3 linked regions of the Oryzias latipes genome follow. The protein of the gene in region 3 binds, or shares a complex with, the protein of the main gene of each other region. Links are inferred from orthologs where the notes say so. Each region holds a gene or a part of one and is shown on either strand. Other genes may lie near its edges.

Region 1 (3,655 bases), on a different chromosome or scaffold from region 3:
AAATATTTAAAAACAAATGTTTCCAGGATTACATAATTTACATAATCCTGCCTGTGTCCCAGCTCTCCCGGGACTACCTAAATCTACCTAAATCAAGTGTCTTCAGCCTATCAGGATGTGTGATCACCAGAGTCATCTAATAGTGTTTGATATCCCCCAGGCGGACGCAGTGCTGCACAGATCACCTGCTGTGCGGTGTATGCTGGTTAGTTTTATGCTTCGTCACATGTCAATCATCATAAAAGCATCTCGAGAAAAAAGGGCGGGTGCAATGCGCCTACCCAGTTCAGCGCAGTACTAAATTTGTATCTGCGAGGCACCTTATCACTACAAAACAGTGCATTGTGGGAAACCGTGTCCTGACAGTTCTAGTAGTTTAAAGTGATGCTGGAAACAGCTGGTGCTCAACGATGCAAATCTGTGTATTTTGTTTGTAACTTTTATTTCTGCAAATAGGGATTCACTGATGAAAAAATAAACATTTCTTTTTTTATACAAATGTTTTTTTATACAAATAGTAATTGAAATCAACATAACTCAGATTACTTTAATTGTTTTATGTTTTCTACTGATAATCAATTTGGTTTTAACATCAGACAGACATTTGCATTTATGCTACAAAAGGAACCTGTAAGTACAGGCAGCACCAACCATCTGTGGTTGTTGTTGCCAATAAAAGTTAACTTCAATTTCAATTTCAATTTAAAAGCATCCCTGCAATAAGCCAGAATTTGCCCGGCGGTTATTTGTTATCTGTTTTCTTTGTCTACCTTAAAAGCTAAAAATAACATTTATAAAGGAATCATAAGACGACAATTAAAATAACTGTTAATAAAAAATAGGCTACAGGCAAAGCATTAAAATAAATAGAAAAGATATAACAGCACAGATCATACTAAGGGGGGAGAGTGTTAAGGACAACCCCAACTTCCTGTTCTCGTTCAGTCTCGCCGAACCAACTCACCTTAACAAAGCTCATGCGGATGGTACACATCTTAGTGAGCTCGTAAACTGCCTCAAAGCCATGGTTGACAGACTGGGCCAGAAGCTCAGCAAACTCCTGGTTGTTGAATATCTTCAAGCTGCATCTGCTGGGAATCTTGCACACAGTTGTGGGGTGGAATCCATGTTGGTAGTTACAGTTACGACTCTGGACAAATATGCTGCTGTCACTTAGACATTCTGCATACACCTCTCCTCCAACGTAATACAGATGGACGCCTAAGAGGTGAAACAGAGAGACAAACGTTTAATCACCATAACTTCAATGTCAGAATCATCAGCCATGAACCTAAAACAGTCAGATGTTAAGGTGACATTTTTGTTTTTTTATCCTGGTGCAGACCCTCACTTAAAATATGAATGGGCTTAATGTACCTTGTACCTTTTTATTATTATATATCATTTTCTTCTCAGAAAATTGTCAGGTATGCGTTATCCCCTGCCCTTTCTGTTTTATAGTCCCGTGGGAGAGGAGCTGATACGGGATGCTAACACTGTGGTTTCTATTTTCTTTTGGGAAAATTGTCAGATCCGCAATTCATAGAGGTGGTCTCCATGGGTTCTGCTGTGTCCCAACATCTTTTTACTCCTTAAACAACGCAGAAGGGATCCAGTTACACATCTGGTTAATGTACTAATAATCAAATATTTGCTACTGAATATTTGCTATTTGGATGACTTTATTGGAAATAAAGTCCATGATGGACTTTATTTATCCATCATGAGATAAATAAAGTCTTATCTTATCTTATCTTATCTTATCTTAACCCTTTCCCACCTGAGCTTGACATTGTTTCAACTACCGTCACTTCTCAACTGTTTATGCAAATAAAGGTCAAAGAGCGAGTTATATTTAGGTGTCCGCAGTGATATTTCTGGTTTTAAAACGGTATGGTCTTTACTTTGCCCTGGTCTGAACCCCCCCCCCCCCCCCCCCCCCCCCTTTTTGTGATTCCATTTTACTGAGTTAAGGTTTGTGTGTTCATATCAGAAACAAAAGCTAAGCTCCATAGGAACCTGCTTACGGGATTACCTTTGCCAATGTGCCGTCGGGTGTTCTCGATGGTGGAGTTCCGGTTCACATTGGAGAGCAGGCCGAGGCAAAATCGATTGCGATTGTTGGAGGGATCTGTGAAGCCGTCGACGAGAACACTGGTGGAGGAAGCCTGGAACGCTTCACCTACTCGATTGTTGAGTTCGTAGTAAACAATGGAGCACCAGTACTTGGGTTCTTCATAAGCCACTGGCTGCACATCTGGAGAGGACACTGAGAACATTCCAACATAGTCAGTCAGTCCACATCAATTCTAACTCACTCCTACAACAGAATCTCATCAATCGTTTTTTTAAATATTAAAACATAATATCTTTAAGACTTGAAGCAGAAAAAATGAATAATTTCATCATAAAGGTTCGCAGTCATTCCGGATTTCCAGTTACTTTTGCCAGAGTTCTGAGCTGGCCCCATCCCATAATTGAAAGGAACAAATCATGTGTATTTAGGTACATATGTCTCCCAAAATCCCTCTTTAGCATGGCACTGACTGGCAGGTGTGTTTTGTCTTTTGCCTAACTGGAGCTGGTACACAATAGAAACCTGCTTCCGGTGCAGGATGCAGCTTGTGGAGCAGAAAAAGACGCACCAACTCCCACTTCCAGCAACAGATTTGTTTTGAGCAGCTGCGCCCGGTACCATTATCTGTAGAAGTGTCCAGAATCTCTGAGATTTGGTGTGCAAAATTGTAGACATTTGTAGAAGCAATAAAACAAAAAAAACAAAAAAAAAACATACATGGGTCTGATATTATTCAAGAGAGTTGGGAGGCTTTTTAAAATAAAACTGTATAAATGAGCCGTTTATGAGCTGGACCTTTATTGTTATATGAATGAGGGTACTGAGCACAGCCGCTTCACAAAAATAAGAACCTTGGTTCTGTGTGGACCGGAGTTCTGTTGTGTGGGATTCCTTTTGAAACAACTGGCTGCCAATCACAGTCCGTTCTGTTGACTATTGAGGTGTTCCCACCTATTGCGTAATAGATACACTTCTAGTTCATTGAACCTGAAGATGATGAAAGACAACTGAGCAACTTTAGAAAAAAGTAAACACAAAATTAAAAAAATCCAGAGTACCCAGACAAGGTGCTGTAAGTCTGATTAGGGATAGTCATGAATATTTAGATTGGAGTTTGGCAAAAGCATACAAAGTGTGTCTTTATTTTCTGTCCATCCATCTTTTTTTTTTGATTTAGCAATAGCTGAATGCTTCTTTTTCATATTAATGAAATCACATTTTTGCACGTAATATTTTTTCATAATACTGTCACTAATAATGGAATGAAGAGTTTAGGCGTCATAGTCAAAAAATATTAAAAGTATATGAACACATAGACTAACATCCTTAAGTTTTTGATCTTTAAAACAGGATTTTTCCTGCATAAATATTTTAGTGGAGGTCACTACCACTAATTAGATTAGCAACACAAGCTCAAGCTGTTTAACAGAATGTGATCTGGGCTGTGATATTATGTGCAACCGCAGTTGGACACTCCCACTTGTCAGGGTGGCAGCACGATACCCAAATATAGGTATGAATCTAGGAAACTCCCAGCCACAGGTAGCTAGGGGTGTAAGGATATACCAACTCACAGAT
Region 2 (2,945 bases), on a different chromosome or scaffold from region 3:
TTTATCCACCTGTGTGTCTAAAAGACATGTCAGGATCGGAGGCTGACATCTGCAGGAGACACAAAGTCTTATCTGGGAGATAAATCCCTCCTTTTCCCCCCGTTTAGATCGCTGGATGTTTTGTTTTCCTGTGCACGCCATGAGATTTAAAATAAAATCCCCCTCTGGCTCGGTTTGGTCCAACTTCAAAGGACACAAGCCCTTCTTGCTTTATGGAGAAGCATGCTTTCAGTTTGCGCCCCCCCCCCTTCCCCATCCTCGTCTTCCTCTCCTAATGTTGTCTTTTTCCCTCCCCTCTCCCTGCATTTAATGAAGGCTAATGACAGGCCGTGCTAAGTCAGCTTGGACCGGCAAAGATCCTGCCGCATTACCATTACAGTTAGTCTCAGACGGGACCTTCCAAATTACCGGTTACATTCCCAGCTACTGCCAAATGAAAGAGGGAGTCAAATGAGAAAGATGTGTGCTGGGAGGGACTTTGTCTCCCCTCTTTTTTTTATGTAAAAACTTGTTTCGACGGGAAAAAAATCCAGCAAAGAGACAAATCCAGATAAGAGAAGTCGCAACAAAGAGGTGGGGACCCTTCAAAAGCTTCAAAGGTACCTAAAGATCAGGAGAGGGAAGCAAAAGTTGCAGAAGTAACAGTCAAAATATGTGAAAAGCATTCCTTCTCTGCTCCCCGCCCCCCTCCCTGTCTCCCTCCATTTCCCTTGCGCCTGACTGGCTCCCACTTTTCTAGCTGAGAGCCAGATTTCTGCGGAATAGAGATATGAAGGGCGAGGGGGGGACGGCACAGGAGGCACTCCGAAGGGGGGGAAACAGGCGAGGGGGGGAAGGAGTTTGGAAACTAGAGCATAGCCATTTCTACACTTCTTTTACACCCAGGGGAAACTTTAGACCGGTGAGGCCTTGCTTGTCAACGGTCCAGACACCAGAGTTCGAGAGTTAACGGCCTGTCTCAAACGTCTGCCGCGCATGGTTTATGTGTTTGTGTGAGAGCTCTTCATCTGGTTGCCGCCAGAGTCATCCTAGCTTTATCTTTGTCAATCAAAGATGGGTTTTTATTTTTATTTTATATCCTCCAGCAGAGTGAGAAGTGTTGCTGTAGAGACGATGAGGACGGTAGGCTGACGTCAGTACATTGTTGGCAGTGCTGCTACAAAAATACAGTGAGCCAGACAGAAGATAAGCATTTAATGCCTAGATAAATATTGTAGTACATGTGGAAACTTGCCTGGCTGTGTCTCTGGGTTGATTTTCTTGTCAAAGATCCAGGAATTCCGACATGGCTTTCCTGCATGGCAGAAATTGGGGAGGACAGTTTTGTTTTGGCTCCCGACTTAAGAGAAGTCGCAATTTCCCAAAACAGTGATAAAGCATACTTTCTTCCGTTGCAGCAGATTTCCTTTTAGATATATTTGACATTTGAGTTTTCTATCCACTTCTCTTTGCACCTCTTTACTTATTTACCATAATCATTGATGTTACTTTTTTTATAACATTCTATGCTTCCTCTTTTTCAGATTCTTTGGCGTTGCAGGACTCTGAGCGAGGCTATTGGTGCGTGGTGGCTTACTGGGAGGAGAAGACACGCGTTGGGCGCCTCTATTCGGTCCAGGAGCCCTCTCTGGACATTTTCTATGATCTACCTCAAGGGAACGGCTTCTGCCTGGGCCAGCTCTGCTCCGACAACAAGTCCCAACTGGTGCAGATGGTGCGGAGCAAGATCGGTTATGGCATCCAGCTGACACGCGAGCCAGACGGAGTGTGGGTCTACAACCGCAGCTGCTACCCTATCTTCATCAAGTCGGCCACACTGGACAACCCAGACTCACGCACGCTGCTGGTGCACAAGGTGTTTCCTGGATTCTCCATTAAAGCTTTTGACTATGACAAGGCCAACAGCCTCCAGAGGCCAAACGACCACGAGTTCACGCAGCAGCCTCGCACAGGCTTCACGGTGCAGATAAGCTTTGTGAAAGGCTGGGGACAATGCTACACCAGACAGTTCATCAGTAGTTGCCCATGCTGGTTAGAAGTCATCTTCAACACCCGATAGCAGCAGCCTTTTCCCTCGTCACCCTCATCCTCGGAAAAAAAATACTTCACCCATCTTTCTTTTTTCGTTCCAGCGGCTCAAACACAGAAAAAAAAGGATTTAAAAGAAGAAGAAGAAAGTTTAAAATCCTGACAGACTTTGTTTCATAATTGACTGAAATTTAATTAAAGAAGAAGTGAAAAAAATGTATTTTATGTTAAATATAAATATATTATTAATTGTAAATATGAAGATGTTTTATATGCATCATTATTTATGTATTGTGCAATGTGTTGATGAGAAAAAAACAAGATGCACTTTGCTTAATATAAGTACAAAAACAAAGAAATGCCAAAATAATAAAAAAAAGCCAATAATATTTTGTATTCAGTCTCTTTGGTTTTTCCTTCTTTTGGGGGGATTTTAACATTATTATTTTACCAGCCTTCTTTTTGCACAATTTTCAAATCAGTTCATTAAATTGGATCCACATGTTCCCTCCATAAAGCCCCTCTAATTTTGTCTTCTTTATAACTAAAGTCAACATTGGCTTGACTTAGTGTTACTAAAGGGCTTTTAGGCCATGCCGTGTATCTTAAAAGCAATTTCCTCAAAGACAAAAATGAGTCAGACTTTGACAGAATCCCATCTCAAAGCCCCCTGTTTCTACAGCCTCATCATGCCTAAAAACTGTCTGTTTTCTTGAGTTATTTGGGGAAGAATGTCTCTCATCTTCTCTGTCATTACCTGACTCATGACATCACAGCCAGGAAGCGGTAATGGCGATTGTCAGGAACCAATAAAGTCAACAGTGGGTCCAGGTTTCTAAAGGAACCAGTTTATTCAAATGTTTGGTTAAGAGAAAGGATGAAGATTTTTTTTGTCACATCTATGAAAAGTAACTATG
Region 3 (3,655 bases):
AATATTTACAGAGTATTTAGTGAAATATCGATAAAAACATTAGCATTGAGGATATACTCACCTTTTGTTATTTTAGGTTTGCATCTTTTCTGGCTAGCTACTTTGAATTCTGCTTTTATGTGTCGGTTCATCAGCGTCAAATGTAACTAGACATCCAACTTCCTTGATGTGGGGGTGCTTTCACAATAAAATACTCCCGTTGACTTGCTTTTGATTAGGTGGGTTATTCCAAAAATGTTCACACCTTTATTGGGGTTAGCTGTCTCACTTGAGTGTACCAAATAGAGGGAAAAGTCATACAGCTGCAACAGCTGAAAGTCTGGGATGGTTATTACCAGGAATAAGAACTGACCAGCAAAAAGGGCACAGACAGGAAAACAGGCTAGTACTGTTCAATCTCTGATTAACGCATATTATTGAACGCCTGGATTTCCCCATTACACCACGAAACTATATAAAACGTATGGTTTTTTCGTTCCTTGAGTTATTTCCACATCAGTTGTAGCGTTTGCATTTATATTGGGGTGGGCAGCACCAACATTTGCTTGCAAATGAACCAAAGCCCTTGCTTTTCAAGTGGACCAGTATTTGCTTGATTAAGAATTCAGATGAGCTCTCCCACTTGCAGAGCTAAGAAAGCTTTCAGAGGTTTCAGAGGAACTCTACTCCACACCAAATGCTCCAATGTGAACGTGTCCTTAGAGGTTAAAATGCCACCTAGGACAAAATGGGAAGCTATGGATTTTGCCCCATTGCTTTTTGCGACAATATTGGTTAAAAAAAAAATTCTGCTGATAATCAACTTGCACTGGGTGTATCTTTACCCAAAGACAATTGGGAGAGGTTACAGGAAGCTTTAAACCTTAGCTATCACAAAATATGTAAAGAATAAATGAATGGGTTTGGACAATAATTGACAAAACTTCAACACCAATGTTGACATAAGTAATCACGGGCGATGTTATCACCTTACACTAAGAAAATCCTCTCAAGATGGAAACCTGGTGTTTAAACTTTGCACAGTTTAAGTCATCCTTTTGATCATGATGGACAATACCCAATATGTACTTTGGAAGACGATCTCAATGCCACTTCAATTATTGCTTTTTAACGATAACAAAAAAGCTCCAAATGTAAAGTCAGTTAAACAGTAAACCTTTTTACTGTTGTCAAAATCAATTTAGAGTCAAAACTAAAGACAAAAAAGTTGACTCACTAACAAAGAGTAGCAAGGCAACAATAACCCAAATGACAGAGCTTGATCCTGTCATAGCTGCGCGTTTCAAACGTGAGTATACTCTCAGCCAATGTTGTTGAAGAGGTAATTTGCGTTCAAGTTTAGACAAACATTCAAAAAGCCTAACAGGGTATATTTAAAGAACAGGTACCAAAGGAAACGATCAGCTGCAACTTTTATCTTGGAGTAAATTGTTATGTCAGTGACAAACAAACCGGTTTTTTGGTCTGCAGCCCGGGTTATTTTTATGTTTTCTCTCAAGTTAACAGTGTGAGGAGGATAAACTTCTATCTGTAGACTTTTAATCTGTGAACCACAGAGCTCCAAAACATGTCAGACAGGAGGTGTAACTTTACGCCTGAGTCTTACATCACCTAGGGCAAATTCCAACAAAATGGCCAGAACTGAGGCACTCCGGGTGGTGACATGTAAGAACTAGACTACACCTGGATTCGAGTGTGCGCTGTATGAAAGCAAATGTCCTTCATTGGGGCGTAAATTAGAAGTCAATCCACAAAAACATGAAATGACAAACTACAAGTGATAAACTAAGAAGGAGCAAGAGTACATACCACTAGCTGGGCTTAAAAGGTTCTGCTGCTGAACTGGAACGGTACTGGGAGGGGTAGCCTGGTTCAACTGGAGCAGGGCTTTGCGTGGATCCTGCCAAGTGGTGGTTTGATCAATGTGGCTGTAGAAAAAACAAAATAACAGAAAAGTCAAAATCAGTTTCTTGCAGCAGCAAATTCAGACCAGAAGCAAACATGGAGTGATTACTCAAGAGGGACTCCTTGATGAAATCAATCCCTGTTTTTCAACCTCACCTGTAGAGTTCATACTTACACATACGACATATCTGGACAGAACAAGAACAATATAAGAGGTAAAAGATGGCAAAAAATAAACAAAAAAGACAATTTGGGACTATCTAAGAGGCCATAACTGGTTTCAAAACAACCATTGTCACATCAAACAATGTTGCTTCATCTATTTTCTCACTATCTTCGCTGGGATGGGATCAGGGGAGCTGGGGGGTAGAGGTCATTGTGTGCACTGTGAAGGCATTGATAATTAGTGCTTTGTTGGCACTTGTTGCTTGATTAAGATTGAAAGCTAATACAGGAAACCCTTCTCTTCCAAGCAGGACCCTCTCTATTGAGGGAGGGTCAGTGCCAGGCCTCAACACAAGGCCCCCCCCCCCCCCCCTCTTTTTTTTTTCCCTGGAAGCGCTTCGGACACTGCAGAGTGTCAGGGGCTTTAACAATCTGGCGCCACATTTACAAAGCTTTCACCTGCTTGACAAAAGCGCAGACTGAGCTACGACCTAAAACTATTCACTTGTTCTTTTACTTTTTGTTGTCTTTTTATTTTTATTTAGGGAGCTCCTCATCGGACATAAAAAGGTACCGAACTTAATGACAGAGTGGGTTTACGAAAAAGTGTAACAGCTACTATTCTCTTATTTTGAACTACACATCCCATGTTGTGGATGCGTTTTCCCACCCACTCCGTGTTGTTACAGCTCGTGGTTAATTTGATCTCAAGGCACCATTAGGCAGGATTTTGGAACAGATGGTTGTAGTGAGGGGTTCAAAAAGTTTCTCTCGGACTGTGCCGTAATCCCAGCCTGCCTGTCTGCTTTCTGTCCCAGGCCAGAGAGTGAGAGGGCCTGACTCAGCACTCCTCCCCCTGACACAATGAAACCCATTTTGAAGCCCCCTCATTTATGCTTTATTGATCAAAGGAGCTGCCCCCCCCCCCCTCCCCCACCACCAAACCTTCCCCCCCACCAGCCCTCACACACAAACACTGCAGACCAAGCAAAACAGTGGGAGCTGCTGCAAGCGGACGCGTCCTTTAAGGAGCCGGCCAAAACGAAAGAGTTAAAAATCAAAACTTCCACTGAAAGCTTTCCGGACTGAATTCCATTGGTTACATGAGTCACACAGACGGGGAGAGAGCCCGCCCTAACCATCTTGGGAGACTATACAGTGTTTGTAACAAAAGGGGAGGGGAAAAAAAAAACCAAGACGCTAGGGAGGAGACTTTAGAGTAGAGGAGAAGCGGAATAAAGATGGGAGAGTTTTTTGTACATGAGAGGCCTGCACATCCTGGCACACCAAACAGAAATCCAACTAAATAAAAACAGATAGCTGGATACACAGAGCTTCAAAGCTTCTAGGACACATGGTTCTCCAAGCTGAGCACAGAAGATAGTAAAAATATCTTCTGTAAACCACTGTCTCAGACTGTTTAGGTTTTTTCTTCCCCCTACGGTTTGTCAAAACAGATATAAACAAAACCTTCGGAGAAACACAAAGATACATGTTAATGTGTTACCCAGTGCCAGTCATTTATCACCAACTTTTAAACCTAACAGATTATCCACTCGCCCTCAAAACCTATATGACCAGCTGT

Evidence for each region. The genes of interacting proteins can lie anywhere in the genome.
Region 1: the proteins of yap1 (region 3) and smad1 are in contact, whole or in part, in an NMR structure (PDB 2LAW), measured with the Homo sapiens proteins. The link is inferred for Oryzias latipes from reciprocal best matches to the Homo sapiens genes YAP1 and SMAD1. Residues at the interface, in NP_001123617.1 of Homo sapiens: Glu237, Ala239, Met240, Thr241, Tyr247, Ile249, Asn250, His251, Lys254, Thr255, Thr256, Trp258; in NP_001003688.1 of Homo sapiens: Thr222, Pro223, Pro224, Pro225, Ala226, Tyr227, Leu228, Pro229, Pro230, Glu231, Asp232, Pro233.
Region 2: the proteins of yap1 (region 3) and smad7 are in contact, whole or in part, in an NMR structure (PDB 2LTV), measured with the Homo sapiens proteins. The link is inferred for Oryzias latipes from reciprocal best matches to the Homo sapiens genes YAP1 and SMAD7. Residues at the interface, in NP_001123617.1 of Homo sapiens: Thr241, Gln242, Asp243, Tyr247, Ile249, Asn250, His251, Lys254, Thr255, Thr256, Ser257, Trp258; in NP_005895.1 of Homo sapiens: Ser206, Pro207, Pro208, Pro209, Pro210, Tyr211, Tyr214, Pro215, Met216, Asp217.

The regions. Positions count from the first base shown.
Region 1 is NC_019859.2:18,368,595-18,372,249, reverse strand, and holds part of smad1 (mothers against decapentaplegic homolog 1), read right to left. Parts: intron 2,270-3,655; coding exon 2,036-2,269; intron 1,222-2,035; coding exon 965-1,221; intron 1-964. UniProt on the Homo sapiens protein: Transcriptional modulator that plays a role in various cellular processes, including embryonic development, cell differentiation, and tissue homeostasis.
Region 2 is NC_019870.2:9,747,065-9,750,009, reverse strand, and holds the end of smad7 (mothers against decapentaplegic homolog 7), read left to right. Parts: intron 1-1,523; coding exon 1,524-2,059; 3' UTR 2,060-2,395; downstream 2,396-2,945. UniProt on the Homo sapiens protein: Antagonist of signaling by TGF-beta (transforming growth factor) type 1 receptor superfamily members; has been shown to inhibit TGF-beta (Transforming growth factor) and activin signaling by associating with their receptors thus preventing SMAD2 access.
Region 3 is NC_019871.2:6,499,705-6,503,359, reverse strand, and holds part of yap1 (transcriptional coactivator YAP1), read right to left. Parts: intron 1,929-3,655; coding exon 1,810-1,928; intron 1-1,809. UniProt on the Homo sapiens protein: Transcriptional regulator with dual roles as a coactivator and corepressor. Critical downstream regulatory target in the Hippo signaling pathway, crucial for organ size control and tumor suppression by restricting proliferation and promoting apoptosis.